Rattus norvegicus: one gene and its partners. The protein of the gene in region 7 interacts with the protein of the main gene of each other region in a pairwise test. Links are inferred from orthologs where the notes say so. Each region holds a gene or a part of one and is shown on either strand. Other genes may lie near its edges.

What was found.
Region 1: the proteins of Tfip11 (region 7) and Ccdc121rt1 interact in binary tests that used the Homo sapiens proteins (3 or more experiments, as listed by UniProt). The two-hybrid records come from large-scale screens. The link is inferred for Rattus norvegicus from reciprocal best matches to the Homo sapiens genes TFIP11 and CCDC121.
Region 2: the proteins of Tfip11 (region 7) and Lca5l interact in binary tests that used the Homo sapiens proteins (3 or more experiments, as listed by UniProt). The two-hybrid records come from large-scale screens. The link is inferred for Rattus norvegicus from reciprocal best matches to the Homo sapiens genes TFIP11 and LCA5L.
Region 3: the proteins of Tfip11 (region 7) and Gng4 interact in a two-hybrid assay, tested with the Homo sapiens proteins (2 studies listed by BioGRID and IntAct). The two-hybrid records come from large-scale screens. The link is inferred for Rattus norvegicus from reciprocal best matches to the Homo sapiens genes TFIP11 and GNG4.
Region 4: the proteins of Tfip11 (region 7) and Ndn interact in a two-hybrid assay, tested with the Homo sapiens proteins (2 studies listed by BioGRID and IntAct). The link is inferred for Rattus norvegicus from reciprocal best matches to the Homo sapiens genes TFIP11 and NDN.
Region 5: the proteins of Tfip11 (region 7) and Krt20 interact in binary tests that used the Homo sapiens proteins (3 or more experiments, as listed by UniProt). The two-hybrid records come from large-scale screens. The link is inferred for Rattus norvegicus from reciprocal best matches to the Homo sapiens genes TFIP11 and KRT20.
Region 6: the proteins of Tfip11 (region 7) and Ccdc68 interact in binary tests that used the Homo sapiens proteins (3 or more experiments, as listed by UniProt). The two-hybrid records come from large-scale screens. The link is inferred for Rattus norvegicus from reciprocal best matches to the Homo sapiens genes TFIP11 and CCDC68.

The regions. Positions count from the first base shown.
Region 1 is NC_086031.1:95,784,823-95,788,719, forward strand, and holds Ccdc121rt1 (coiled-coil domain containing 121, retrotransposed), read right to left. Parts: upstream 2,314-3,897; 5' UTR 2,253-2,313; coding exon 1,281-2,252; 3' UTR 646-1,280; downstream 1-645.
Region 2 is NC_086029.1:48,947,148-48,951,083, forward strand, and holds part of Lca5l (lebercilin-like protein), read right to left. Parts: intron 3,707-3,936; coding exon 3,375-3,706; intron 1,914-3,374; coding exon 1,399-1,913; intron 1-1,398.
Region 3 is NC_086035.1:93,431,472-93,436,067, reverse strand, and holds the start of Gng4 (guanine nucleotide-binding protein G(I)/G(S)/G(O) subunit gamma-4), read right to left. Parts: upstream 2,874-4,596; 5' UTR 2,539-2,873; intron 1-2,538. UniProt on the Homo sapiens protein: Guanine nucleotide-binding proteins (G proteins) are involved as a modulator or transducer in various transmembrane signaling systems.
Region 4 is NC_086019.1:125,259,263-125,263,205, reverse strand, and holds Ndn (necdin), read right to left. Parts: upstream 2,148-3,943; 5' UTR 2,081-2,147; coding exon 1,103-2,080; 3' UTR 548-1,102; downstream 1-547. UniProt on the Homo sapiens protein: Growth suppressor that facilitates the entry of the cell into cell cycle arrest.
Region 5 is NC_086028.1:84,880,360-84,884,212, reverse strand, and holds the end of Krt20 (keratin, type I cytoskeletal 20), read left to right. Parts: intron 1-55; coding exon 56-181; intron 182-995; coding exon 996-1,216; intron 1,217-1,887; coding exon 1,888-1,925; intron 1,926-2,977; coding exon 2,978-3,075; 3' UTR 3,076-3,261; downstream 3,262-3,853. UniProt on the Homo sapiens protein: Plays a significant role in maintaining keratin filament organization in intestinal epithelia. When phosphorylated, plays a role in the secretion of mucin in the small intestine.
Region 6 is NC_086036.1:65,815,573-65,820,153, forward strand, and holds the start of Ccdc68 (coiled-coil domain-containing protein 68), read left to right. Parts: upstream 1-1,728; 5' UTR 1,729-1,829; intron 1,830-4,581. UniProt on the Homo sapiens protein: Centriolar protein required for centriole subdistal appendage assembly and microtubule anchoring in interphase cells. Together with CCDC120, cooperate with subdistal appendage components ODF2, NIN and CEP170 for hierarchical subdistal appendage assembly.
Region 7 is NC_086030.1:49,969,415-49,973,967, reverse strand, and holds the start of Tfip11 (tuftelin-interacting protein 11), read left to right. Parts: upstream 1-1,710; 5' UTR 1,711-1,783; intron 1,784-1,834; exon of another isoform or gene 1,835-1,945; intron 1,946-2,813; 5' UTR 2,814-3,001; intron 3,002-3,287; 5' UTR 3,288-3,296; coding exon 3,297-3,505; intron 3,506-4,553. UniProt on the Homo sapiens protein: Involved in pre-mRNA splicing, specifically in spliceosome disassembly during late-stage splicing events. Intron turnover seems to proceed through reactions in two lariat-intron associated complexes termed Intron Large (IL) and Intron Small (IS).

The DNA of each region.
Region 1 (3,897 bases), on a different chromosome or scaffold from region 7:
AACATAATGGCTCCTGGCATACAGGGAAAAGATCTGTAGTTAGCCTCGATCAAGGTGAGCTTTTAATACTCCACGAGATAAGAAATGACGCAAGGAAGGCTTTAAAACAGCCTTTGGGCTGCGGGCTTCTCCTTTATAAACAGTAGGCAAAGTAGGGGGCCTGGATTGGCACCGTGGCAACTCCCCTTACCCAGGCTTCCCTCCCTACCTTTCAGTTATCTGTGTTCAGTTTCAGTCCAAAATCAAATGGAAAATTCTGGAAAGAAACGATTCGCATATTTCATGTGTCTGAGTAGTGTGGTGAGACCTTGTACCATCACATAAGGGTCACAAATCATCCTTGCCCAGAGCGTCCATGTTTTATACACTACCCACCCGTTAGCCACTGACGTAGTGGCCTCACCCCGAGTCATGGTGCTTATGTTATTGGCCTGCTGTACCTCATCACATGCTTGTTCTATCACTTCAAAAGGGTGGCAGTAGTATAATAAAACATTGAGGGATATAGTATTTTTGTTGTACTTATAAATCTGGAGGGGTATTAAGAACTAATTACAGGTAAATTTTGTTTTAACAACACTGTTTAACTGTAAAGTATATGTATTCACCAGCAATGCTAAAAGATGATGATGGTGATAAGGCACATTGAAAAGCTAAGTCACCTTTTAATCCTATTTAAAAAGAACCTATTTTACATATAAAAAAAGCAGAAAATTCTGAAGAGTGCCCTCGAAGTTTTCATTACCAATAATTTCTGAGAAACGTGAAGCTGGCTATGTCTTTTCCCTATGCAGGGGCATCACCCAAATACAAGACCATTCTTCCAGACCAGAACCCACAGTTCAACAAAACAGTCCACCATAAATGCAAACGTGCGACCCTTCTAAACAAACAAAAACCCTACAATTTAAGATTCCTATTTGCTTCATATGGCCCAAAATACATAGAATGTACAGGTTATACACCGTACTTTGTGGACTGCAGAGTACACACTAAGAAAAAAATAAGCGTGGTAAAAATATATGCCCTAAGTGGGTAATCTGAGGATTTCAAATGCTACTATAAAAGTGGGTGGTGTAACCCATTACAAAATTTCCAACTGTTCTAAATCTCTGAGTGTACGCAGCCCCAGGGACACGGACAGCCACGACCTGGGTCCCAGGCTAGGAGCACAGCCCATGCTGCGTCAACCGCCCTTCGTGCAAGCGTTTCTAGTCTCCACGAAGGATACTTTCTGGATTGTAGTTATTCCCTGTGCTCCAGTTCAGTTGTAGTAGCTCTTACTTTAAACTTGTTTTTGATTTGGTGCTCAGCATGGTCTTTGAAGTTCTCTGTTCCTTGAGGCACGGGTTGTGACGACGGTGATGGCGTTCGCGTTCTGCCTGCAGCCGCTGCCGCCCTCTGGTCAAGGCTTCTAGGTACCACCGCTGCTCTTTCATCAGCCTCCGGTGCTTTTCCAGCTGATTCCTCACAGCTTCCACCCTGCGGTACTCCTGGCTCAGTTGCTGAAGCTCCTTGCGTAGCTGCTGGTTCTCCCTGTGGAGGCTGCCACAGAACTCAGAATGAGCCTGCTTGGCTGCTAGAGCCAAGGCCTTGTACTTCCTCGTAAGCCCCGTGGTGTTGATCTGCCCCAGCTCCATCAGGTGCAGGTCTTCCAGCTCCTTCTCCATCAATGCCTTTTCCTGCAGGAACCGGAAGTGTGCCTTCTGGTCCTTGGCCGCAGTCTCACCTCGGACTTTCTCTTGCTCCTGCTCCAAGCTCTGTATTTTCATGTCCTGGCCCTCCTTTACTTTGTAAATTGGCTTCAGGGCCTGCAACTGCTGCTTCAAATCCTTCTGGGTCTTTCTGCCCTGCAGGAGCTGGGCTTGAAGAGCTGCATTTCTCTGGTTGTATCTGGACGCCAATTCTTGCCTCTCTCGTTCTATCTCGCCACATTCTTGGATGTACTGCTTCCACAGCTCCTCCTGTTTCTTTTCACACTGTTCCTTATTTTTACGCAAGTATTCCGTGAAAAGCTGGTTTTCGGCCTGCACGCGGTATTTTTCTTCTAGTAGCTGCCTGCTGTCCGTCAGCAGCCTTTCCCGCCGGCATTTAGTTTCTTGGATTTGCTGGCTCAGCTCCTTCAGCTCCACCACTGTCTTCCTCTTTACCCGTTTCTCCAACCTCGTTAGCAATTTTGGCTTGAGATACGTATTTAGAATAGTAAGGTATGGTGTTGGTGGGGGTGCACCTTTAGGGCTCTGGGCAAGCATGTTCCCAGAATCCCCAGGTCAAGGAAAGTGACTGCCAGGGAGCAAGGCGGTTTGTTACTTCAGGGTACAGCGTCCTGAGCCAATGTTCCCAAGGTTTCTCCCTCTGGTGGTCAAGGCGACCAAGCTACACCCAGCCTGCCAGGAAGTCGCAGAGCTCACTTAGAGTAGCCTCAGAGGCTGTCCAGGGCTGGCCTTGATCTCCGAGTTTTCACTAGGAGCCCAGAGCTCCTGTTCCAAGCTGGCGAGCCCTGTCCTGGGGAGCCCTCTGGTCTTGCTCTCCTGGGACCTGTGCTTTGCCTCCTCATACCCTGTCCACAGGTCAGCGTGCCCTTCTGTTCTCTGCACACTAGCAGACGTATAGCCAGACTCATCTCTGCAGTGCTGGGGGTATGGGTCTGCAGGATAAATGGCGAGACCTAGGGCTGGGGAGGGTTGTTTGCAGATCCTTGAGTTCCCTGTGTGTTGTTGAGAAAGGCAGCATTGTGGGACTTTGTACATGAGCCGTAGGGAGCACAGAAGAGACTGTGACAGGCAGAAGGCCAGGAAGAAAGGGAGGAGGTTTCTGAAGACTGGAGTGCCCTTAACTCTAATTCCTTCACGGCACCTTGGTCTAGTAGGCTCCCCCAAGTGCATCCTTGGGGCACTTTGGGTACTACTGACCGTGGAGTGGCACCCCTGATAGTGAGTTGAAGGCAAAATTGCTGGGTTCTTGAAATCTGGAGCCTATAAGTAACTGGAAATGCCTGCATCTTATGTCTAGGATAAAGAGTTGTGTGACTTTGGGCAACTTGTTTAACTGAGGTGCGTATCTCCCTTGACACTTGGGATTTTGACCTGTCAGCTTCACAATGCTACCATACATTACTTCATCTGATCTTTCCAAAAATGTTAGGTGGAGAGTACATGCATTATTTCCCCCACTTTAGCTATGAAAGAAACCCCACAAAACACAGATACTAATCCCCAAAGACCACATCCTAGGGTAAAGAAAGAATAAGAATCAAAGCTTCTTGGGTTAGGGTAGGTAAGTTTCAATCTACTCTATTTCTCTCAAAATAGTTACTGAGGAAGTCCTGCCCCATTTTTATTACTTGAAAGGCTTTTAATTTTTTTTACAAGACTTTAAGTTAGACATTATTGTCATGATATGTAAAGCAACTTGTCCAAGGTCCTACAGACTTACTAGAAAGTTTACCTGTCTTCTCATGCAACAAATGGGCAGACACCCATTTTGTGGGTCAGCTGGGGTATACTGCTGAGTACACCTAGAACTTCTGAGATTGTTTTCACCCTTCCTTATCTCATGCCTAACTCTTCATTGTGTTGTGGCTGTGTGTGTGTGTGTGTGTGTGTGTGTGTGTGGTGTGTAGTGTGTGTGTGCAGTATGAGTGTGTGTGCAGTATAAGTGTGCAGTATGTGTGCTGTATGTGTAGTATGTATGTATGCAGTATGTGTGCAATGTGTGTGCAGTATGTGTGTTCAGTGTGTATACAGTATGTATGCAGTGTATGTATGTGCAATATGTATGTGTATAGTGTATGTGCAGTGTGTGCATGCAATATGTGTGCAGTATGTGTGTGTTCAGTGTATATACAGTACATATGTGTGCAGTGTGTGTGCAGTGTGTATATGTACAGTGTGTATA
Region 2 (3,936 bases), on a different chromosome or scaffold from region 7:
CCTACACTCCCAGGGACCTACAGGGGCCTACACTCCCAGGGACCTACAGGGGCCTACACTCCCAGGGACCTACAGGGGCCTACACTCCCAGGGACCTACAGGAGCCTACACTCCCAGGGACCTACAGGGGCCTACACTCCCAGGGACCTACAGGGGCTTACTCCCAGGGACCTACAGGGGCCTACACTCCCAGGGACCTACAGGGGCTTACACTCCCAGGGACCTACAGGGGCCTACACTCAGGGACCTACAGGAGCTTATGTCAGCATCTGCCATCAGGTGCATCAGCTGTGGGCTGTATGTAAAATGCCCGCCCAGCACTCCTGCTCTCTCTCTGTTCCAAGTGTTCCTGCTGGTCTCTCTTCCTTTCTGTCCTTTCCTGTCCCTCTTCTCTACCCTGATGGCTCTGCTCCCAACTGTCTGCTGACTACATGTCTGCCTCTATCTCCTCTCCACGTCCCCACTCCCCATCCTGTCCCCAAATAAACTGCCTTGTACCAGATCTGTTCCATAGAATAATTTCTCAGGGGACTCCTTGGCGTGACCCCCAGGTACCCATAACAAATATTATCATGAAAATTCAGGTGAAACCATCGAATATTTATCAGAAAATATTTGTCACCAAGTATCAGAGAATTAAACAGTCCATTTGTATTTATGTCCATCAGGATCATGTAAAACAGTCAGAAGTCTGTGGGATTAGTGCCCGCTCCCCTACTGTGAAGCTTTTCCCCCTTTTAATGAACAACCAAGGTCTGTTGAGGAAAAATCTATCCATCTCTTCAGATATTTTAATTCCATTTTTACCCTCCCCCTTCTCTTCTCTGCTCCCTCCTTTCCCCCTCCCCCTTCTCTTCTTCCCTCCTTCCCTTCCCTCTCCCCTCCCTTCTCTTCTCCCCTCTCTCCTTCCCCCCTCCCCTCCCTCCCTCTCTCCCCTGTCTTCTCCTCCCTTTCCTTTCCCTTTTCTTTCTTCTTCCCAGAAAACATTATTTTTAAATAACGAAAACTGTGTGGAAACAAGTCTAATCTGTCAGATTGAGGAGAGAGACAATACAAGAAAAGGGGCTGGAATGACAGACACAATACTCTGGCAAGAGGAGGTGGCCTTTCAGTAGAAGCTGAAAGCAGGTGATCATTTCAAAGGAAGACGCCCACAACACACTGGCGACCTCTGACTCACAGGACATGCCCATGTGGCCACTGGACCAGCTGCTTCCAGACAGGCTGGGCACTCTTGCTGCAGGGCAGTCTTGCCCACTCCAGGGCAGACTCCCAGCTCTGACACTTGTTTGCCTCCTTCCAGCCCCCATCTGCCCACTCGCTACTCAACACAGTTACTCTGTGTGCTGAGCTGGGCACAGCCCATGGACCCAGTACTGGAACTCCTGAGACACAAACCTGTATTTTTTTGTCATTTGCTTCCATTTTGGCTGTAAGATCGGTCAACCTGTGAGTCAATTCTTCTCTCTCTGCAAGGTTTTTGTCTTCTGAGAGTCTCTGCAGGGCTTGCAAGGCATCTTTGGTCCTCAGTAACTCGCTGTCGGTTTCTCGGAGTTTCCTGGACACAGCTCGCTCCTTCTCCTGGGATTTCCGGAGGAGCTGTCGAAGGTTCTTCACCTCATTCTGGTGCTTGACTGTAATCTGAGGTAGATTGTTCTGAGAGTTCACGTATGTCCCTATGGCTTTCAGGTGCCTGAGCTGAAGCTGCTTCAGAAACTGGTTTTCTAGGATAGTGGCTTCCAGCTTCCGGTGTATATCGGCCAGCTCATTCTTCAGCTCTTTGATCTTATGGAGCCTGGCTGACAGTATCCGGTGTGTCATGGTGTCTCTTCTCTTGGCAATCGTTTGGATTTGAGAACTGAAAAATGAAGCGTTCCAGATGTGCCTTTTCTCAGCTGGGATGTCCTTCTGGCCTGCATGGACAGACAGTGCAGGCTGTTACAGCAGTGCACAGAGGCATGCAACTATGCACGTGTGTAGCAACCCCCAGTACACACATAAACATAAATGCCGTGAAACTGAGAGGCCGAGGCGGCTCACTGGACGTGCCTGCTGCACGTAGGCACTGCACACACAACTGTCTCCCAGACACAGCTCTTCAGCCCAGGCTCATCTGCCTTACATCTGAGAGTCATTTTAAGTCATCCAAGGCTAGAGAGCCATCAGGTGACACAGAACGGACTATACACTACTTCTTTGGAAGTCTAAAGCCTGTGTTTAGATATCTGCTATAAAAGTTACTCTGAGAATCATGCCTGGTGTGGAGGCGCATTCCTGTATCCTTACACTGGGGAAGCAGAGGCAGAGGATTAGGAGTCCAAGGATAGCCTGGATTAAATGAGACCCTGCTTCAAACACAACAGAACACTGGTGTGGTTTGAATATGCTTAACCCATGGGCAGTGGCACTATTAGGAGGTGTGGCCTTGTTGGAGAAATGTGTAATTGTGTAGGTGGGCTTTGAGGTCTCTTAGGCTTAAACTCTGCCTAGTGTAGAATCGGTCTCTTCCTGGCTGCCTTCTGATCAGGATGCAGAACTCTGGCTGTCCCAGCACCACGTCTGCCTGCACGCTGCCATGCTTCCCTCCATGATAATGGACTGACCCTGGGAAAGAGTAAACCAGCCCCAGTTAAAGTTTTTCTTTATAAGACTTGCCTTGGTCATGGTGTCTCTTCACAGCAATGAACTCTAATACAACAAGTTATATTAAAACCCATTGTTCTGGATAGTTTTATGTCAACTTGACAGAAGTTAAAGTCATTTTTGAGAGGAGTGAACCTCAAATAAGAAAATGCCTTCAGCTGGGTGCTGAAGCATAAGCTTTTAATCCCAGCACTCTGGAGGCAGAGACAGGTGGATTTCAAGGCCAACCTGGTCTAAAAAGGTTACACAGTGCAATCTTGTCTCAGAAAAATAGGAATAAAACAAGGGGCCACAAAGAAAAGGCCTTTTGGGTGATGGAGGTCACCACCATCCTTACCAGACTTGGGAGACTGTCTTCTTGGGGTCAAGACAAGGCGTTTCATTGGCAGTTCAAACTTTGATTCTTTAGTTGAGGCCAATGGCAAAAAACTGGTGAAACCAAGTACTGAGTACCTGTGTACCGAGTACCTGATGAGCACCTGTTAACTAGAACAGAACTCTCCCTAGTAGCAGGCTTAGGGGGCCAGCTCTGTGGGGATGACGCTACAGTTTATTATTTTATGATTTCCTTAATTTTTGTTTCCAAGTCCTTCCAAAATTTCATATATATATATTTTTTCTTCTTTTTTCAGGAAGACACACCCATAACTGGTTGTGGCCACTAGTGTTAAACAAAGACAGCACTGTGACCAGTGCTACAGTGACCCTGGCTGGGAAGTCTGGCTTCTTACCTTTAGGCTGAGGGAATTTACATGTGTTATACTTTCTTTTCTCCTTTTCTTTCCCCAGAAGCTGCTCTGGCTGATGTCTGCTGACAGCTGTCTCAGAGCACTCAGAGAGAAAGTCTTCTGAGTAGTCATAGCGAGAAGTCAGGCTTGTGCAGGAGCACCGGGACCTGCTGTAGTCCACGCTCCCACTGGAAGCCCGGCTGTTCCGTGACAGGCCGCCAGCACCAGGGCTATGCTTGCCTTCTGCAGACTTCCTGTTGCTTCCTAATGCCAGACTGGGGAAATGCTCATTCGTGTGTGCTTCTGTTGTGTCAGCCAAAGACATAGTCCACAACCTGAGGAAACAAAAGGACACTCTGGCCTGTGGTCACTGGAGTTAAATGAGGCTGTGCTTTACTATAATGGGAAATTAAGAATGGGAAACAGTACTTTTTTTGGTTTGTTTGTTTGGGACAAAGTTTCATTGTTCAGTCTTGGCTAGCCTGGACCTTGTTGTGTAGACCAGCTCAAAGTCATAGAGATCCACCGATCCATCAACTTCTGCCTCCCAAGGGCTGGGATCAAA
Region 3 (4,596 bases), on a different chromosome or scaffold from region 7:
CCGAGGGCACTGCCAGAACACTTCCCAACTATGATGCTTTGCAAAACCCCAATGAAGCAAGTGTCACTTGAGGATCAACTGAGGCTGTTCTCATCACATACCCAGCAAGCACTGCTCCTCAGCCCTGGGCCTACTTACCTGGGCCCCCACCCTGCCTGCCTCTGATCGGTTCAGCCTTTGTGGATTTGCCTGTAGACCCCCAAAGACCTCAAGGCCACATGATGTACATTGTCTCCACTGCTGCTTCTGTGTCCTCACCCCTCATGGGCAGCAAGGGCCTACCTACAGTAAGCAACACTGCTTCCACACAGGCCCATCTGCCAGAGACTGCAGCAGCTGCTGCCACAATGGCCCCATAGCTCAGTGCATGGATCTCTTTACACATGTCCCGATTTTTCTACATGAATCTTTCAGGAGCTTTTTATTGCCTCAGCTTTGTTCCCTGTGTGGACACTCCATTTGTGTTTCCCCCCACCAGTTTCTTGAAAGGCCTTGGCTTATTCTTAGTTTTTAGGCAGCCACTTAAAGCCTTCAAGCAACATGGTCCTACTTTGACACATGGTTTCTCTGACTTTCAGCAAAAATCTGTGATATCCAGGGTCTATGTTTTTGTAGAAATTAAGATGTTTCAGTGTTTGGTCTAAGAAAACTGAATGAGTAACTGTGACCTGAATACTAAAAGTCTCAAAGTTTGGATTTGCCTAAAGGCAATAAAGATGTTGTAAAGGAAACAAAAGAAATCATCAGATTGCATAGCAAACTGTAGATTTAAAAAAATCAGGTATTACTTCAAAATTTCCCCAAAAGAAGCTTCTAATACATGCCATCAACACCCTCCCCTTGTCAAGCAGAATAAAGTGAGACAAAGTAAGAAAGATGGCAGTAAGATCTGGCAGTAAGGAGACCCAGACTTTGACCAACTGCTGGGCTGCATTCCCAGCGGGTGCTGAGTGTGAGTGTGTTCTGGGTGGACACAAACACAGCCACTCTCACTCTCAGGTGTCCAGTGATCTTGAGACAGGACAAAGGCAAGGGCCCTGTGCCATCTGATAACTGACACTACGAAATGAACAAGGGAAATCTCCCCTCTGGGTTCTTCCTTACAGACTACCATGAAAAGAGAGGGAAGGCAGCCAGTCAGACAGGCAGGAACTGATCAGAATGGCCCTTCCTTCCCTGTGCAGTTTTCTCCCCAAGTCTCTCCATTGCTTGCTCTCTGGGTTTTATTACAAGGGGAAAGGACTGGGGCCTAAGGGTTGCATGGTCCCACAGCTCTCTCAGACTGAGAGTCCCTTGGCTAGCAATGCACCCCGGTATGTCCCTGCATTCTCATCAACACCTCTCAGCAGGCTGGAGAAATCCAGAAACCCCAAGTGCAGTCGACAAGCACCTTGTCTTGTTTCTCAGGACTGAAAGAAAGCTCAGGTCTCCCCCACCCCAAACCCCAAGTGGTCTCTATCAGGTTAACAGGACCAGAGGAGGAGGTGGCTGCCTTCCTCCTTGCAAGTCAACATGAGGAAAAGGGTGGTGACGCTCCAATAATGAAGAACCAGTCAGCCTGCACGCAGCCCAAGTGCCTTGCTGCAGCAGTGGGGGCCATCACACCTCGCTCTGGAGCCTTTTCACCAGTACCCAGCACAGCCTTGCCGGTTTGCTCTGGCTGAAACGCAAGCCTGCCTGCTGCCAGCCTTTTACAGACCTGGGAGGCCTGGGAGCCGAGGACAGGATTTATCTATCGCTGGATCAAACTTTCACATTTGGAAGTATCCTCACTCACATCTTAGCTCGAAATACACGACAAGAAGCAGATTAGGATAAATGATGGAGCCTTTTGCAGCCATTGGCATCTCGTCTTATTATTTCCCAGAAGACTAAAAATTAAAGCAAAGCTCGCTCTCCCAAAGCTATGCCCCATGAGCTCAGCAGTGCGTTTCAGCACCTGCTTCGGGGACAGTCGCCATCGAGAGGGAGAGCACAAACTCACCCAGGTCAACAGGCTCTCCCCTCTACCCGAGGCAGGTGTCCTGGCGTCGGGAAAGCAGAGGGCGTCTGCGAACCCCCCGCCAAAACACTGCTCCAAACAAAACGATCAGTGTCCATGCCATCCATCTTCTGTGGTCCTCTGCACGAGGGATGAGGGGGGTGGGGTGGGTTTGGGGGTACGAGGTGGTGTCCCTTATGGTCATGACCGGCCAGTCTCTATGCCACCCTCTCCCCCATGAAGAAGGGTCCCCTGGAAGCCTCGGCCCTCCTCGACCCTAGGGTACTTGGCTGTGTCCCTCGAGGCCCCTGCTACCTGTGGACATTACGGAGGCTCAGGCTGGAGGCTCCCCGCGGCCGTGCACCAAGAGGCCGCCACCACAACGAACCACAGGTCTTTGTGACCCGTGCCGCGGCACCTCCAGAGAAGGGAGCCAGAATGTCTCTCTAGTTCCGAGACTTTTGATTTCGGCCAGGGACTCACGGAGCTGTCGGGGCCCGGGGCCGAGGTTCCCCGACGAGGCACCGCGCCCTCCCGGGGGCTCGGGCGCCACTTACCGCAGCCGGCGCGCAGCCGGTGCCGCTCAGACGTGGGCTGGGTCCCCGGCGTGGCGCTCGACGGGGGCGGCCAGGCCAAGCGGCATCGCGAGCCCCGGGCTCTGTGAAAGCGCGCCCCGTGTCACCACTCGCGGGGTCCCGGGCCACAGAGGACCTGCGCGTCTGGGGAGAAAGGGGGAAGCAGCGCGGAGCCCAAGCCACAGCAAAGCCACCCGCAAGCGGGGCTCCGGGTCTGCGCAGCGGGCCCACGGGGTGCAAGGCGGTGACTCCCAACCCTTGCCGCTGCGCCACGCTGACCGCACCCACTCCCTCGCACCCACTCCGCAGCAGGTCTCCTCCCGCGCCGGGAGGGGCCGGGAAATCCCGCCCGCCGCCGCCGACGTCACTGGTGCGTCACTGGGGCTCCCACTCCGGGCTTTGCGCGCCCCTGGACCCGGGCCTCACCCAGACCGGCCCTCCCGGGGAGCGCGCAGCCTTGGAGGGTTCATGGCTCCAGGAAGATCCCCAAGTGCAGAGTGGGGACAGCCAGCTCAGGGTACTTCACCTGGGGACACCTAGGGTGCCTCACACGGAGGAAGGTGGGCACAGTTAGTGCAGATGCTGAACATCTGGAAATGCGCACCAATCTTACGCAGACGTCGCTAAGCAACGCGGGCAAGACCGCCACCCGACCTGGCTTGGCAGAGCAACTGCCTCCCAGCCAGTCACCAAGAGTGCAAGTGAACAGCAAGGAGCTGCTGCTGCAGGGAATCCTGGCGACTCCCAGTGGCCTGCCAAGCCTTGTCCTAATGGAACTGTGTTTTGTGTGTCTCGCTGTAAACGGATGAATTACCAAACTCCTCTTCCTTGAGACGCAGCTTCAGTCACGTCTGTTTTCCAACTCATGAAATAATACAAAGCCCTCTGAAGGCAGAAGCAGGGAAAACGTTTCAGGCAGTAGATGCATAAAGAAGGAGGCCGTACTACTTCTGTCTATAAACACCACTGACATTTCTTGAAAATCTTCCTCCTGTCTACCTTCCCTAACCCTGCAGAAAGTCACACTATAGAGGATGCCTTAGATTTTCGCAGATCTTTCTGACATGCCTCACGGTACCGTGCACGGTACAGTGACTGAGTCGAACTGCCCAAAGAGGTCAGAAAGGCCCAGTGGGGTGGAAAATCACGCTGATTGTCTTTACAGCTCTCAGGAGTCCCTTTTGGCCTCAGAATTAATTGACGTCCCAACGATTTAGCCAGTAATAGTCGCAAGGCAGAGACTAAGTGAGACCCTATGGTCACTACAGTTGAAAATTCAATCAGCATAAAATTGTGTCTACTGTTTTTACTCTCGGATCCACCATCTCTCCTGCAATCCCTGGCTCAGTCGTTCACTCTTCCTACACACCAGCTGCAGGAAAGTTGATCGTAGGTTTCCTTTTACCAGAATTCTAACAAGTTCAGTTGTATTCCCATGTATTCCATGTCAATAGATAAACTCTCTGGTGGATTGGGTGGCCACTGGGACTCTTCCGTCTCTCCCAGGCCTTTTCTTGTCTTACGCACACACAGAGCGATGTTCAGCCTCTAGTGCTCTGGAGGGAGAAGTTGCATCCCCTTGGGCAACCTCCTACACAAAGACCCTACCCTCTTCCACTAGCCGCCCGCCCTTCTGGGGACCAAAGGAGCAACATAGCAGATCTCTGGGAGACATTAAATATAATGATCTAAATATATAATGATCAAGGATAATTGAAAACAACAGAGTTGATTTAGTGTTGAGTAAAGGGCAGAGGGGCAGCCAACTCAAAGAAACCAAGCACTTCTGGTACAGCAGACAACAATTGAGCTTTCATTCTCAAAAAGAGATCTAAATAAGAAATTTTCAGTAGATCTAAATGTAGCTGTGATGATCTCTGATAGGACACATGTGTCCAACTCTATCATTCCCATTCTTATTTAACAAGTAGCTTTTGTCAAGATATATATCACAGCAACAGGAAAGGAATCTAAACTATTCAACCACTAGGAAAACTATAGTGAAGATTTAACTAAAATCTCAGAAAACAACATTTTAAA
Region 4 (3,943 bases), on a different chromosome or scaffold from region 7:
GGGAGACAAGGGTGCTTGTGTGAGTGGTAGCCATGGGGAGCTAAGTGTCAAGACTCCAGTATAAGGTCTATGATTTTTAGGGTATTTCATTACCAGCATCCTTTCATTTTTCTTGCTTTGTGCTGATACAGTCATTCCTTACTTCTTATGGCTGGTGGGAGGATAAAATAAAGAAGAAAATGCACAACGAGGGTTTAGTAGCAATATTTCATTCTGTTAAAGTGCCCACCAAAGACTATTTAAAACAAAAAAACAAAACAAAACAAAACAGAAAAGGGACAGTCCCTACATAATTCCTGTTATTATTCCCACGTTATGTGAACATGCCTTTTTTTGTTATCACGCCTTTAATGTGACCAATTTCTTGAAGCACCACAATTTTCAAAAAACTTCTGAGTGGTTATGAGTGGTGTTTTCCCACTCTGTTAGAAGTATACTTGCTCATGTTGTACACGGGGAGAATCTTTCTCATCCCTACCCACTCCCATTCCCCCTTTCACCAAAATAAATGCCTCCCCCCCAAACAAAGAAATTATTTCACGGTATATTTAATGCTCATTTTAAAGTTTATTTATGGTGGGGTTGGATACATGTTTTGCAAAGTGTGCTAAGTGCTTAAACTGAAAACAGTCCAGTTCAAATCAGTCCATTCCACATGGATGTTTCCTGTGCCAGTTGGAGTCATATGGAGAGGGACCCTGACCTTTCTCTTGGTCAGGTCTGTGTTGTTGTTAAGTCCTGCTAACTCTCCAGGGCCTTCTTTGTCGATACGGACCATCAGTCCCATTCAAAGAACAAGATACAGAACACCTCAATGTATTTCACAAGTTTAGCACAGCACATCTCTTGTACAAAAATCCAAGAAAGCACAGAAGTGAAAGTACCAACTTGCTCACTTATAAAACACACATGCATCAATTTTAAACACTACACGAGTACACAACTGAATACATTGCATTACAAGATAAAAAAAGCACTGGATGGAAAACTTAAAAACTATACATGAAATACTGCACTATGAATCTGGGATACTCTAATGTCCAACCCCACCCTTACACAGCCCTAGTATGGGTCAGAAACTATCAATGTGCTCCTGGACATTTTAGTCCTCAGAGACACTGCTGCGGGGGGCCTGGGCGACAAGATTAGCCTCCCGCAGAGCTCTGGCCTGCTCCAGAGCCTCTCTGTAGCGGGAAGGCCAAGCCTGGGGATCCTTCTTAAAGACTCTGGCCAGGAACTCCATGATCTGCATCTTGGTGATTTCACGGTTAGCTCTGGGGCCCCAGAAGAACTCGTACTCGGGAGGCTCGATGTGGGGCACACGCTGGTACTTCAGGTAATTCTGCTGGACGAACTCCTCGGTGATAATCTTTCTCACATCTCCGAAGGTGGAGTGCTTCTTCCAGGGCCTCAGCCCCAGGATGCGCAGCACATTCCAGACCGCACCCTCTCTGGCCCCGCGGCCCTTCACATAGATGAGACTCAGGATCATGAGCAGGAGACCTGTCATGGGCATACGGTTGTTCAGCGCGACTCTGTCCAGCTCTTCTGGGCTGAGTGCTTTGACCAGGGCGAACTCCATGGTGTGGAGATTGGTCAGCCTCAGGTGCAGCCCGAAAACTCTGGCGAGGATGACGCTGGTGCGCCTGAGGATGCTTCTGCACCACTTCTTGTAGCTGCCCATGACCTCTTTCACCATGTCTGGAAACCAGAGGACCATCCTCTTCTGGTCCTTGACCAACACGTACCACATGAGCTCGTGCGCCTTCTGCACCAGCTGGGCAGGGGCCGGCGGTGCTGGGATCGGCCGGGCTGGGCTCTGGGGCTGGTGGGCGCGGCCCTCTTCTGCGGCCTGCTGCAGGATCTTAGGGTCAACCTCTTCAAACCGTTCTGCAGGTGGTGGCGAGGCCTGTGGGGCTGCCATAGGGCCTTCCGGAGCGCACGATGGCCCTGAGAGGTTCGCGGCCAGAGGAGCGGGAGGAGGGACCCCCACCGGAACAGCATCGCTGACCTGCATCTCAGTGTCGGGGTCCTCAGCGGCAAAGTTAGGGTCGCTCAGGTCCTTACTTTGTTCCGACATTCTGCGTCTTTTGATCAGAGCAGGACCGCTGCGACTCGGAGCTCTCGGAGCCTGCACTGCCTCAGTGGATACTAGCAGAGGAAGTGCGCTTTACTGAGCACTGCGCCTTCCGCAGCAGCGGGCCGGGCGGGGCAGACGCTATATTGCGCATGCGTAGTGGGAAGCCAGAAGGGTGGTAGGGCTGGATAGGAGCGAAGTAGCAAAGCCCAACCACTGGGGTCTAAGGGAGGGTACCACTAGTATTATGAAAAGGATCTCCTGGTCTCCTGTATGGGACAGAGATGGGTGATAGTGGGGAAAGAAACAAGTTGAAGGAGAAAGATATAGCTGAGATGGTGAAGTTAAGTTCCGACACACTGAGTTAAGTGTGAAGGTCCTGGAGGAAGAAGACTAATTCTTGAATTTGAGTTTTCCACAAAAGAATAGGAGAGACAAAAATAACCTTTTCTTGGAAAGTCATACCTGATGATGATGATGATGATGATGATGATGTGTTGTCTAATATCAGAATGTTGAGAAATTATTAATAGAGATAAATCGTTACAAATCTGAGCAGTATCAAACAAGGAAGAATGCAAAGTATAGTTACAGACACTGGAAATCAATCCATGTGAGAATTTAATGTTTTAGAAGTAGATTCATATAACATAATTGATGTGCGTCTAAAATTTTAATTAAAATGGGACTTGGTTCAGTGGGCAAGAGCTGTTGCAGTTCAAGCATGAACCTGAGTTTAAACCCCAGGTCCCACATGAACAAAACAGATATATAAAATTATTTATATGTATTCATTCATCGTTGGATTCTTAGTTTGTTGGCTTACAATTATTTTAATAACTATGGATTTGGGCTCTGCATTTCTATTAGGTCACTTTGATTTCATTTAGAAATTCCCTTAAGAATCTAGTGGGAAATGATCAACATGTTTATTAATACACATTTTATGATAGTGTATTTTTCATGCACTCCCAGTGCCCTTTCCCCCTGCTTACTGCTGTTACATCTTCATGTTTATAAGAAATCTTCCACGTCTTGCATTACGTCATTAGCAAATGACTAATTCCATGTTGGGCGCACGTCCAAATCTTTCCCAATATCTTTCAAATGCAATTCTTTTGGATAATATCTAACATTCTTTCATAAATGAGAGGCAGCATATTGGTGTTCATAAATAAAAAATGTAGATTGAGAGGAGGTAACCTGAACCTGATATTTCCTCGAACTTTCCTTTATGCAATGACCATGGTTGAAGCTTCCAAAGCCAGAAGTCCTTAAATTTGATCATCTTTCTTATTCTGAAATAATGGAATTCCTTAGCCCTTCTTTGAGTTCCTCAAGTTTAAAACATCTTAAAATTATGCATTGAGATTTATTATCACTTAAAACAGATGTATTTAAGGTATTGGGTTGGCATTCCTTGGCTCTTCAATGTGTTTATTTAGACAAGACAGACATCTTTTACCCAGAATATTTGTGGCAAGAAGTATGTCCGTGTTTCCAGGTTTGAGAATATTCGCATATGTACAATGATATGTTATAAGCTCCAGAATAGACATGTTATTAGTTTGCTTTCTATCCACATTTTGAAGGCAACATTATACAATAGTCCTGGTAGACTTTTGTCTCAGTTGTGATCTGGTGAGAGCTGATATGGGATTTGTCACTTGTAATATCCTGTACATCCTGGAAATGTTTCAGATTGTACAATGTTTGCTATTTCGGGTATTTGGACTAAGAGTGCTCTAGTCATTTCTTAGATATGTTTTTCCCAAGTGGGTTGATTTTGAAGAATTTTCTGGGCTAACTCACTATGTGTATACATACATGCACATACTGTATGTATACCTATGCATACAGTGTGTT
Region 5 (3,853 bases), on a different chromosome or scaffold from region 7:
CTCTCTCTCTCTTCTGTATCTCCTTGCTCATTTTTCTTAATTCTTGGAATTTTAGACTCAAACTCTGGAGAAACAAGTCACAGTGAACATTGAGGAGCTGAGAGGAACCGAGGTTCAAGTCACGGAACTGAGACGCAGCTACCAGACCCTGGAAATAGAGCTCCAGTCCCAACTAAGCATGGTGAGCCCCTCGGATCATGTTCAGAACTCTGGAAGCACAGACAACCGAAATAAACAACCTTTCCCCTTGCAGAGCCAACAAGGAAACAGGTCCAATGGCTAATAAGAACTATGCCACAGGAAGAAACCAAGGCAAGGGTAACAGGCAATGCAGGGCAGAGGAAAGAGTAGATCTGGAAGCTTCCACAGAGAAAATCACATTTGTCCTGGATCTTGAATCAAAGATGAGCTTTAAGTTGCAGGAAAGGGGTAGAGGCATTGCAGGCTAAGTAAGTTATGTTGACAACCCTCCCAAGACGACATGATGGCATTCCACTTTAGGAGTCAAGGCTAAAGGGACAGACCAGTCTGGGTCATGTCAGGGTGGTGGAAGGAGGAGAGAGAGAGTTGAACTATGGGGCAACTCTTAGAGTTGAATCTCAGGAGAAAAGGGAAAGGCTCTGTCAGTTTTGCCTGCATGTCAACCGCCAAAGAGTCACATGATCAAGCCTGGGCCCGTAGCTTGAGAAATCCAGTTCTCAACTGACACCATGAATTGTGTGGCCAGGCCTACTAAAGGGGTGACAGGCATGACCTCTTTCCAAGCAAGGAAGTAAACCTCGACGCTGTGGCACCGTGTGCATCACGCTGTGGGAACCGTAAAGGTTAATCGAAACAAAGCAAAAAGGCAAGAGGTGGCAGGGGTAACTGGCTGACTAGGCAGAAAGAGCTAGAAAACCGGGTGGTGCTCAAAGGCTGCAAAAGTTCTTCCCAAAAGACACAACGGTTGCGCTATCCACAAGTAAGAATCCCCCCTCTTTGTCTTGCATGCTTAGAAAGAGTCTCTGGAGCGCACCCTGGAGGAGACCAAGGCTCGTTATGCCAGCCAGTTGGCGGCCATCCAGGAAATGCTGAGTTCCCTGGAGGCCCAACTGATGCAGATCCGGAGCGACACTGAACGCCAGAACCAAGAGTACAATATCCTCCTTGACATAAAGACCCGGCTTGAGCAGGAGATCGCCACCTACCGCCGCCTTCTGGAAGGAGAGGACATAAAGTGAGGCTCTTAGCATCCCGGAATGTGTGTCTCTCTGTGTGTTTGCCATTCTCCTTCACAGTCCTTGTCCAGCCAATCCCCAGCACAATAGCAGTGTTACACACGGGACAACGAGGCAGAAATACACCAAACAGTAGAGAACACCCCACACAGCAGTAGCCTATGAACGAGGTCTGTGACAGGACCGAGTCAGAAGACGGTTCTCCAAAGGATGCCGATCACCTTTGTGTTGATTCTTGTGCTAAGTGTATAGCTGGAAGCATAATGCCCTTTTGAAAATTCTCACTGACTGCTCATGAATTAAACCACCGGCCGCGAAGGCCCACGGGAGCCAGTTTGTAGATGAGCAGAATTGGAGCAACGTCTGCCTTCGCATATAAACCTCCCCCGCAAAACAAACAATCAAAAAACCCCACAGACTTGAACGTTTGTCCTAATTTTAGTCCTCAATGTACAAATTTCTAGTAGATGATAAGTAGGTCGGTGTTTTCCAAGCTAAAAAGCAGATCACTGCAGCGTGAGATAAACACAGTCCAAAGGACAGACATAGGAAAAGAACATTTAACCACATGTCAACCCAGACATTAGAAAACAAAGGGGCAAGGAGGGAATCCCCACAGCTTTGACCCGGCAGTAATGCTGTCTTTCTTTCTGCTTACTTCACAACACAGAACTACAGAGTACCAGCTAAACACTTTGGAAGCAAAAGGTAAGTGTTCTGCACTTGGGCACATGTCCTATAGTGCGGAAATCTCAGCAGCTCCCTGACAGCTGTCTGTCAGTGGGGGAAGGTGAAAGGTGGAGGTCCTCCAAAGCACAAGTGAGGGGCAAGTTTCTATGTGTTTGTTTGTTCCGTGTGTGTGTGTGTGTGTGTGTGTGTGTGTGTGTGTGTGTGTGTGTAAGAGAAAGGAGAGAGGAGAGAGGGGGAGGGGAGGGAAAGAGAAGAGAAAAGAAAGAAGAGAGAGAAGAGAAAGAAGAGAGAGAGGAGGGGAGGGAAAGAGGAGAAGAAAGAGAGAAGAGAGAGAAGAGACGGAGAAGAGAAAGAGGAGAGAGAGAGAGGAGGGAAAGAAGAGAAGAGAGAGAAGAGAAGAAGAGAAAGAGGGGAGAGAGAGAGGAGGGAAAGAAGAGAAGAGAGAGAAGAGAAGGAGAAGAGAAAGAGGAGAGAGAGAGGAGGGGAGGGGAAGAAGAGGAGAGAGAGAGAGAGAGAGAGAGAGAGAGAGAGAGAGAGAGAGAGAGAGATTGCCCATGCCACACTGCATGGAAGTCAGAACAACTTCCTGCCTACCACCACATCCAGCATGTTTTCAAAGGAAAACCATGGGTTTCAGCACCAGAGCACAGACCCCCATACTTGTTTAGCAAGTGCTGTATTGGCTGAGCTATCTCACCAGCCTCAAGGCATCAAGATTCTAAAAGACTTGGACATCATGCACAGAATGCACTCAAGTGGAGACTTTGGCACACTCTCTATGACGAAGTGCCTTTCTTAACCCATGCTATGGCTAGAACAGCCCCGGGTCCTGGGGAGGCAGGGGGTTGGGGGGGGGGTGTGCAACTAAAATGTGGATTTCGTTTTATTCGAGATTGCCTATTTTTATCTGAGGTGAGAAGATGGGGGCCTTATGAATTTGGGGAGAATGAGATACATCGTTCTATGCTTTTTTATAAAATCCAACTTAAATTTGTATATGGAAAAAGTCGAGTGATTTTTCAGGGTGGCCATGAGCCTGGACCAACTTCTAATGTCTGACACTCACACAGATATCAAGAAAACCAGGAAGATTAAGACGGTCGTGGAGGAAGTGGTAGACGGCAAGGTCGTGTCCTCTGAAGTCAAGGAGATAGAAGAAAACATATAAACAGCTGCCAATGGGGAGGCTGCTCCAGCTGTGGCGTCCGGAAACCGCATCAATACTGTGCGGTGACTGCGAAGCGGGGAGAAGTCTATTTACCGGGCTCTGTAATTAAATATAAACGTTTTCACTCTGGGGAGCTGTAAAGGGCTTGTAAGATTAAAGCCAGTGAATCCTGGAACATTTAAGCCACCTTCACTGTGGTCCTCTTAGGGCGGAGGAGTTCAAGCAAACAAACCTCTCACGCCTGGGGTTTTGTTTTTCTTGTTTCTGAATTCTAAAAGCCCCCTGTAGGGTTCTCCCAGGAGGCAACTTCCCAGTTACTCTCATTGCCCTCCTGTTGCCTTTAAGCTGCCTTTGCCTCCCCTCCTCCAACCCAGTCGTCTCTGCCACCTCTCAGAACTCAACTTAGTCATTGAATCATTTAAGACAAATTCCAATCACGAATGCTGAAGAGAGTAAGGAGCCCTGCGCAAGGTGATTGACACGGGGCTCGGTTAAGAGCAAAACTAGACTGGAGGTAGACTGGTGTCTTCTTGTCGTAGTAAACTGCTTAGCTCATTAAACGTAGCTTTATTCGGTGAATGTGGGGTATGGAGTGTCTCTCACGGTTTTTCTTTCGTGAGACTCAGCTACAAACTGCGAAATCCACCTATGTAACGTGTGCACCCGGGGGTTGTACAACGATGACCACTAATCCTTGAACATGTCCACCACCCTCAAAGACAGAGCCCATACCCAATGGCAGTCATCCCCAGTAGACGAGGATTTCGGACACCAACCT
Region 6 (4,581 bases), on a different chromosome or scaffold from region 7:
CTTCTTTAATTTTCTTGCTCTTTCTTGGTGAATGTATGATTCTGCTAGTTTGTTTCTATTTTTAAATGAATGAATGAATGAATGAATGAATGGTGCGCGCGCGCGCGCGCGTGTGTGTGTGTGTGTGTGTGTGTGTGTGTGTGTGTGTGTGTACATGTATGTATACTGAGCATATCTATGTGGCTCAGAATCCGAGTTTTGGCAGTCACTTCTTTCCCTGTCATTTTGTGGGGTCTGTGGGCTGATTTCAGGTAGAAAGAACTACACACAGACGTACCTCACGGACACCCCTCACTAGTCCTCATTCATTTTACAAAGGTGCCTGATTATTGAAAATAATTGTTTCTTTAGCTTTTATAAAAAATACTAAAATCTGAAAAGAAAAGTCTGTCAACTTTCGCTTCTCCAATTGGGCCATAAAATCAACAGATTAATTTGTCAAGAAAATACAATTTCTGTCCCATGTGCTGGAATCGTTGGGTTCAAAGTAAAATTCTGGAAAGTCTTTTGATGTCGAGGGCTTTGACAAAAGTTCCTTATATCCTGTTAAATGTGAGAGGGTGAAAGAAATGTTCATTTGTCTCGTGTTTTTGTTTTTCTTTTTACCTCAAAGACCTAAATGTTTATGAACCTTCAAAGGGACATAGGAAGTCACTGACACAGTTCCTCGTGTAACAATTAGAACAACAAAATGAAATGTAGAATTGACTCATACGCAAATATACACAAGTCCATGCTGAGGTAACTGAATGCATAGATAAATGAGAGATAAGAAAATTACCCTTAAATAGTAACCCGAACAATAATGTCTGGATGCCACAGGAAGTAGAGCTCGACCTTTCTGCCTTGTCACCCAGAGTAAAATGAACCGAGTGAATTCAATGTGACGAAGACATTTCGAGGAGAGAAGAAGAGTAACGAAGCAGAGAAACCTAGTCCACTTGATTCTAATCAGGGAATCAAGGTCAGCCTTGCTGCGGAAGTCTGATTGCTGTCTTGCTGTCACGTTGACCAGCAGGATGGGATGAGGTGTGGGGGAGGGCCTTGTCCCAGAGGTTTTCTTCCTGGTATGCGCATGTGAGAGATAGCAAAGAGACGGGTGGAATAATACCTACCAAACATCACTGGTATACCTCAAATTTCTAAAGTGGATCAGATCAAGAAAGGACTAAAAAAAAAAAAAAGACCTGTCAAAGAGCAGCAGAGACGAGGTGACCCACACTAACGCCAAGTAGTATATCAAATGGGATTTTGAGGGGAGCTAGGACATAAAGGGTATTAGCTCCAACACTCGTGACATTTGCAGACAATTTGGGGTTGGTTAATAGTAATGGACACTGTGGATGTCATAGGTTTCAACGAAGCCATCTCTAAGGAACTGTGTACCTTCAGGGCTCTGGCTGAGTTGTCTAGGGAACTCTTTCTCCTGGTTTTGCAATTGTTTGGTTTCAGATCATTCCCAATTAAAAGTGTTTAATTAGACACACACACACACACACACACACACACACACACACACACACACACGAGAAATGAATTTGTGGACTTAGGGCGCTACAGAACATCATCAGACAGGCCTGTCCTTAGCTAGAGCCTTTCCCCTGGGACAGGCGCCTTAAGGGCGGTGTCTGGTCTTTCCGCAGCAGCTCAAACGTCCCAGGCATTGGAGAGTCAGAGGCTCCTCCCAGAGGTCTGGGACACTGGACTCTGCCCTGGGCGCGCCTATCTGAGCACTTAGGTGCTCTCAGTCGCCAAACTTCAGCAGTTAAGGACCCGACGGTGGGCTCTCTGCCAGATCGCTGGAACTGGAGCAGGCGGAGGCCTTCAAGGTAGGCGAGCCTGGGACAACTGTGGACTGCTGCCAGGTGGGGGGACATCAGGTGACCTTGGCGCGGGCCACCCAGCCGAGCACCCCGGGACATTTCCCGGGGAAAGTCTTAGAGTGGTGAAGAGGGTGTTTCGTTGAACCTCTGGTTCTGGGCTCCGATTCCCTGGTGCAAAAGTTTTCAGAAAGAGAAAGTTACTTTTCTCCTCTCCCAGTGCACACAAACCTGCTTGTTTATTTAGGCTGCTGTTATCTCTTAGTCAGAAATCCTGAGACGTCTGTCTGCCTGTTTCAGGGGCCCGGGGAAAGGTAACCCAGAAAAAGCTGCAGTCTAACTGGCGTTCATCTCTGCCTCTGTGAGTTGTAGCCGCAGAGGTGAGCGAAAGTCAGTTGTTCCGCACGGACTTGCCTCGCTACAGGCGCTGCAAGGGAACAGCCCGTTTCCGACTCACTTGTCAATCTGGATTGTGGAGGGGCCTGAGGCAGCTTAGCAGGAGCAGTATCTCCTGCAGGGGCAGTTCTGGTGCTCCAGTGGATCGTGATAGTGGTGAATTTTCAGCCTCTTTCAGAAGGAAAAGGTGAACATAAACTTCAGAGCCTAGAGCACACCTCTAGGCCAGGACATAACTGATGTTACAGCAACGTGTCATAGTTATCTTATTCCAAGCATCAAGCGCCCCCCGCCCCTCCTCCTTCCTTCTGTGCTATATAAAAATTAACTTAATCAGATGATGTTAGGAATGCCAAACAGGAAGTTTAGGGATGGCAAAAGGGGAATCGAGCCTTCGGATTTTAAGCGATGCTATTAAATATTTAGCTCTGTGTAGATTGGTTTTCCAGAAACTTGATCTGGGCCTGAGTGTCTGGTACCTGTGTAGAATTGATGCTGTTGGTCAATTGTTGCTGGGCCGCCCTGCCCTCCTCCCTGTCGCTCCACCTCCATGGAGGGGCAGGGGGGGGGCGTTAGGGGAGTGGGAAGGAGATAAATAATTTGTCTCAGGCAGAGAAAAACATTGTTTCCTCAACTCCAGAAATAATGGAAAGAGGCTGGGTGTGGAAAGACCCAGGCAGACTTGTTAAGATTCTTAATTTGTTCTTTTCCAAGGCAATTGATCCTCTGTTCTAACTGAAAAGAGACTGAAATAAAGACCGGCACGCTTCCCTGACTTACTAAGAGGGACTATAACCAGAATGAAACCTTAAGGTAGCATTTGTCAGCTTGGCTGGTTCAAATGTGTTTCAACAGTGGCCTTTGGTTGCCATCCACACTTTTTTTTTTTTTTTTGCCAAAATGCTTAAAAATGTAAGTTAGATTTAGCCTTAAAATGTTTACTTCAGATAACTGCTGATAAGAGGAAGGATTTTGAAGAGATCTGAGAGGTGTTTAAAGTTGTAGGTTCAAGTAATTTTGAACTGAGACAGATATATCCAATTTAAATGATCATTTACTGATTGAAGCATATATATATATAAATGATGTATAAACATGATAAAAACATATATATGATGTATAAACATGATAAAAACATATATATGATGTATAAACATAATATAGACATGATATAAACATATATATATATATATATATATATATATATATATATATCTCATGTGGATTCATCCAGGTTGTAGTCTCTATTAGTAAGTAACTGAACAGTGCCTGGGTTTGATTAATTAAATAATTTAACATGATCACATAAATTTAATTATTGCTAAGCATGAATATCTGCCCTCTCCATGGATTTGGAAAACAAAAGCTGGTTTGGGGCTGGGCCTATGCATACTCTTTTAGGGAGCACTTTAAGCGATTGTGAGCTTGTGGAACAGAGCACACGTTTGTAAGATTAGAATTGACGGCGCTCCTGCCTGGCATGGTGCCATGTTGATTGCACAAGAAGAGAAATTCCTGTCTTCTTACGTTGGATTTCTCTAGAACGTCCTACTATCACATATCAGGAAGCAACAAACACCGGCCACAGATATGAGGACCTTTGTTCTGACAGAAGTTTCCCTCACTTACACCCACATCTACAACTTAGAGAGGAATTCCACATTCATTTGGCTAGTGCTGTTCTGTTTCATGTAGATTGGGCGAAAGCTTAGGAATTACGAATTCTAGGGTTAATATTATTAACATGGAATTAAGACTAAAGAGTCAAAGATCAGTTTCATGAAAAATAACTGAAAATTAAATGTGCCGCTTCGGGTAGCAGCGATTCTGGAAATATGAACAAAATTAAAATTTAACAAAGTCCTATCCAATAATTATTTTCATTCTTTAAATGAGAAAAAAATCAAAACAAAACAAAACAGCGATCACTGTTCCCTACAGGGAGCAAATCAGCTATGTTCAAGTTATTCTTGCTTTTATTCGGTTTCCTTGAACACAGTTTTATTGGAGGTGAGAGCAAATTACTCTAAAACATATCCAGGCGTATAATTCAGGGATTGTTTGTAAAGCCACTGAATGCAGTCACCACAGCACAGTGTGCACTTAGGTCACCGTCCCTAAACGTCTGCAGTCTCACTATCCCCGTCTTCAGGTCCAGGAGACCCTCATCTACCTTCTGTCTCTTCAGAGTTAACCTTTTCTGGACGTTTCAAGCTGGTGGAATCAAACACTGTTGGCGCCTTAACATCTGGCTTCTTTTACGTAGAGTACAGACTTCAAGGTTCATTCAGGTTGTAGCATGTATTTGTGCTTTGTTCTGCTTTATGGTCATCTAATATCCATTCCATTTGAGATATATATATAT
Region 7 (4,553 bases):
TTTCACTTTGTTCACACGCAGGAATATTCTTTCCCAACACAAGTATGCTTCGAACTTCCCTGTACTGGGAATCCTTGTTCATTCTCTGAAGGTCCCCTCCCTGCTCCTGGCTGACCCTCTCACACCACCACACCTTTTCCCTTCTCCATTCTCCTCTGGGCAGCTGTGAGTTACAGCTTGCCTGCCCCCCTTCCCGGACCCCCTGGTCCCCCCAACACACCTCATTTGTATCAGTTCTTAGATGCTTCCATTCATGGGACCATAAGCCCCAAGAAGGAACCCTGATTCCACAGTATCACGTTGGCTCTGATGGACTTCCCAAGAGCCTCAGTAACATATCTTCCTGAATGTTTTAGTTAGGTTTTATTGCTGTAAAGACCACAGCAATTTGGGAAGGAAAGAATGTATTTGCTTTACAGATTTCAGTCCAAGGCAGACATTTAAAAAAGAACTGAAGCAGAAAGCCACAGGAATACTGCTTCTTGGCTTGTTCCCGCTCTTACAGCACCCAGGACCACTTGAGCAGGGGTGGTGCCACCCACAACGGGCCGGGCCATCCCACACCAATCATTCATCAAGCAAACCACCCCACAGTCTTGCCTGTAGACCATCAGGATGATGGAAGCACTGAGGTTCCTTTTCCCATATAACTCTAGTGTGTATCAAGCTGATGGGGAAAAACAAAAATCCAACCAACAACAAAACCCACCAAGACGCAGCCTTTTAGTGTACTAGAGAAAACGAGCGTGTTTCAGAACCAGAGATGGCATCAGACTATGTGTAGATTTGTAAGATGTGTAGAGTGTAAGATGAACTATGCCCCCGTCCTGTGGGCCAGTGGTGGTGCATGCCTTTAATCCCAGAACTCAGGAGGCAGAGGCGGGCATATCTCCGAGTTCGAGGCCAGCCTGATCTACAGAGTTGAGTTCCAAAACAGCCAGGGACACAAAGAAACCCTGTCTTGAAAAAACCAAAAACCAAAACCAAACCAAACCAAACCAACAAAAAAGCCCAACTCCTTTCTTTCTCAGCACCAGAGAAATAACTACAGCAGCGAGGAAAACTGCTTCCTGGCGAGAACGCCCGGGCACTCCTTCGGAAACTCATTCCTTAAACTGTTCCAGGCCCACACTGGTTTATCCTAACAGAGACAACCCAAGAATCAGGTATTTCAGAACAAAATAGGGCCAGGGATTGACAAAGAAAAAACAAATTTATTACAGGCTGTGCACAGCTGCCTAGAGATAAGTTCTTCGGTTCCTCTGCCTTTCCTGTTTACAGAGTTACAGAAAAGATAAAGCAAAAGCCAGGAAGCACGCTCGCCGATTACAACGCGAGGACCTCCGGCAGCCAAGCTCTTCCTCTGGGGCTGGGCCCTTAGCCTTTCCTTCTCGCGACATGGGGTCCTGAGGACATTTTAATCACTCAGGGTCCCCGTGACGCTGGTTCAGGCACTATGGGCACGGCGGTTCTATCCGGCGGTGGCTTCCTTGGGATAACACCTTCTCCGCCTTTGACAAACCAAGACCCCAGTGCTTGCAGAGGGACCAGACATCCACTCGGCCTCAGTTCCGATGGGAACCGGAAGCAGAGCGAGGCCTTCCAGTACTCAGACACGCCCCCTTAGCGTTAAGTCGCTGCCGGGGCAACAGCGCGCCATTTCCGCCAGCGAGTGACGCACTTCCTGTGCGCCGGCAGGTCACATCCGGGTTTCGGCTAGCGGGTCCCTCGCAGGCTCTGGGAAGGTGGACCGAAGTTGTGTGATTCACGGGTGCTGAGTGAGGTGAGCGGGCGGCGGGGTGGCGGGATGGCCCGGAGGGCGGGCTGATGCTCTATGGCGGCGGTCCCATGCTCTCCCCGCGCCCAGGTCTCCAGCCCGGCCCGCCGCGGGACGGGACCTGGGAGCGTCCTGACGCTGACACTAAATAACCAGCCCCGAACGCGGGTAAGCTGAGTGTCTCCTGACCACTGTGGGATTTTTACTATCCCCTGTGCTGGGGAGGTGGTAATCTCATGAGCCCAGGGCTTCCTGCTCCTTTGAGAACTTTGCGCTCAACTCTTAGCTGAGGTTGAGACCTGTTGTGATGAACCGGTGCATAGTGAGGAGTAGGGAGATGTTTATAACAACGGAGCGCTTTCTCCGCTGTCAATTACTGGTGCATCTGTACACCATGGAGTCACATAGTGAGGACATTGCTGTGCAGTGTCGGGGCCTTTGTATGTGATACCCACACACAGAGGTGTTCATAGAAGCGTGATTTAAACTCAGGCGGTAGTGTTGAGTGTTCCTGATTTTCACAGTCATTTTGAAGGGTTCACTTCTCAGCCCTGACTGGTAATGACGGTGATCCTGAAACCACCTGACCACGGGACGGAAGTAGAAGATGCTTTTTTCTTACTTTTTTTTCTTTCTTTTTTTCTTTTTCTCCCCTCCCCCCACCTTGTTTACTGTTTTTTTTCGAGACAGAATTTCTCTGTGTAACAGCCAGCCCTGTCTGTCCTGGAACTGTCCTGGACTGGCTTTGAACTCAGATCCACCTGTCTCTGCCTCCCTATTCCTAGAATCAAAGATGGTCATCATCCTGCCTGGTGAGGGTGCTGTTTCTTGAGCACCTGCAGGGAGTTCAGCTTTTGTTGTTTTGTCTGTTTTGAGACCAGGTTGGCTTTGAAATTACTGAGATGGACTGCCTTTGTCTTTCTAAAGGATTGTTTTAGTGCTTGCAAGCTACTTCTGGAACTGAATGAATGCAGTTATGAGAGAGAGCTAAGTAGATAACCTGGGTAGAACACTTTGTTTACTCTACACCCTCTAGGCGTGACTGTGAAGTGTCGTCCAGAAAGACCACCTCCTTCCAATCCCTCAGAAGCCATTCAGGTTTGGGAAGGAAACCTTCAGTTTTGTGAGACAGTATTTCAGAAAATGCTCTAAAGTTTCCCTGGAACTGCAAATCAGCTAGGTACAACTTCCCTGGAGAAGGAAAGGACCAACTTGGTTTCTGAGGTAATAGCACATGGAGCTGTTGCTTCCTTTCTGTGGCATGTCTGCCGTCTGTCTGTGGCCCCACCCCATGCATGCACTATGTTTGACTCTGAAAAGGCATTGTTCCTTAGACCCCTGTGATGACCGGGTCTGACTCGTCTCACTTGTTGCAGAGCTGGTCATTTTATCCTGTGTTTAATGGCTGCTTTACTGAGTTGTATTATGAGGCTCATAGCTTTTTGACTCCGGAGGATCTTCTGCTGGCCGTGGGTTCTCACAGTGCTGTTCTTGTCCCCTCTTCTTGTAGTGACTGGCCATGTCTCTGTCCCACTTGTACCGGGATGGGGAAGGCCACCTTGATGATGACGATGACGAGCGTGAGAACTTTGAGATCACTGACTGGGATCTCCAGAATGAGTTCAACCCCAACCGGCAGCGTCATTGGCAGACCAAAGAGGAGGCCACCTATGGAGTGTGGGCTGAGCGTGACTCAGACGAGGAGAGGCCCAGCTTCGGAGGCAAACGGTACTGTGTGCTGGGCTGCATGCCCTTGGTCTGGAGGGTCAGGAGGACACCCTAGAAGAGTTTCCTGCCCTGCTCCTGTCCAGACACTACAGCATCCTGCTCTGTACTGTTGAGCTGGGATGGCAACATCCTCCTTAGCAATTACTGTGTGACGGGAGCAGGATATGGACAGAGACGTGCTGGTCCACCACAGGCATGGCAGCTGTGGGACCATGCTGTGCCAAGGAACACTTGCAGGGCACTAGAGAACAGGGGGGGTCAGGGAAGGTCACTCTGGAGAAGACTGTTGGCCCAAATGAAGGCGTCGTCCACAGGGGACGTGTGGTAGTACGGCCTGGGCTACATAGTAAGATGCTGTCTCTCAAGGCAAGAAAACAGCATGTGCCTCCCAGCTGACCTCACTCAGAATATTTTGTTTAATTTTACTTATGATTTTTTGATTAATTTTAATTAGGATTTTTATCTATCTGGGTTGTTCTGTTTGAGTTTTACACTTGAAAGAGTATCTAAAACAAATGCCGTGTGTGTTTTACATGCACGCTAGATAAGAACTGTACCACTCTAAAGCAAGCAGGGAGCTGAGACAGTCTTTTCGGTTGTGAAAGGGGCCCAGTGTGATGGCTTAGAGGTGGAGATGTCTGCAGGGCAAGCCTGGTTAGCTGCGTTCCATCACCAGGTTCCTACATGAAGGGTGAAAGGGATGAGCCACTCTACAGATTGTTCTTGCACGCAGCAATAGCGCCATTTTTGAAAGTGTCAAAGGGAAGTGAGATCATTGCATCCCAATTTGAACTCATAATCAACTACTGACAGTGGCAAGTCTTCAGCTACAGGTTTGAGTTGAACGGACCACATGAGCGTTAAATGTGGGCTGGAAGAGGACTCAGTAGCAATGAAGATTGAGCACTGCTCCAGCAGACCTGAGTGTGGCTCCCAGCCAGTGCCACGGCTGGCAGCTCACACTGCCCCTGATTCCATCTTCGGGGAATCTGCTTTGGCTCACAGGGGACCCATACGGTCATGCACTCAACCACACACAGCTAAATGT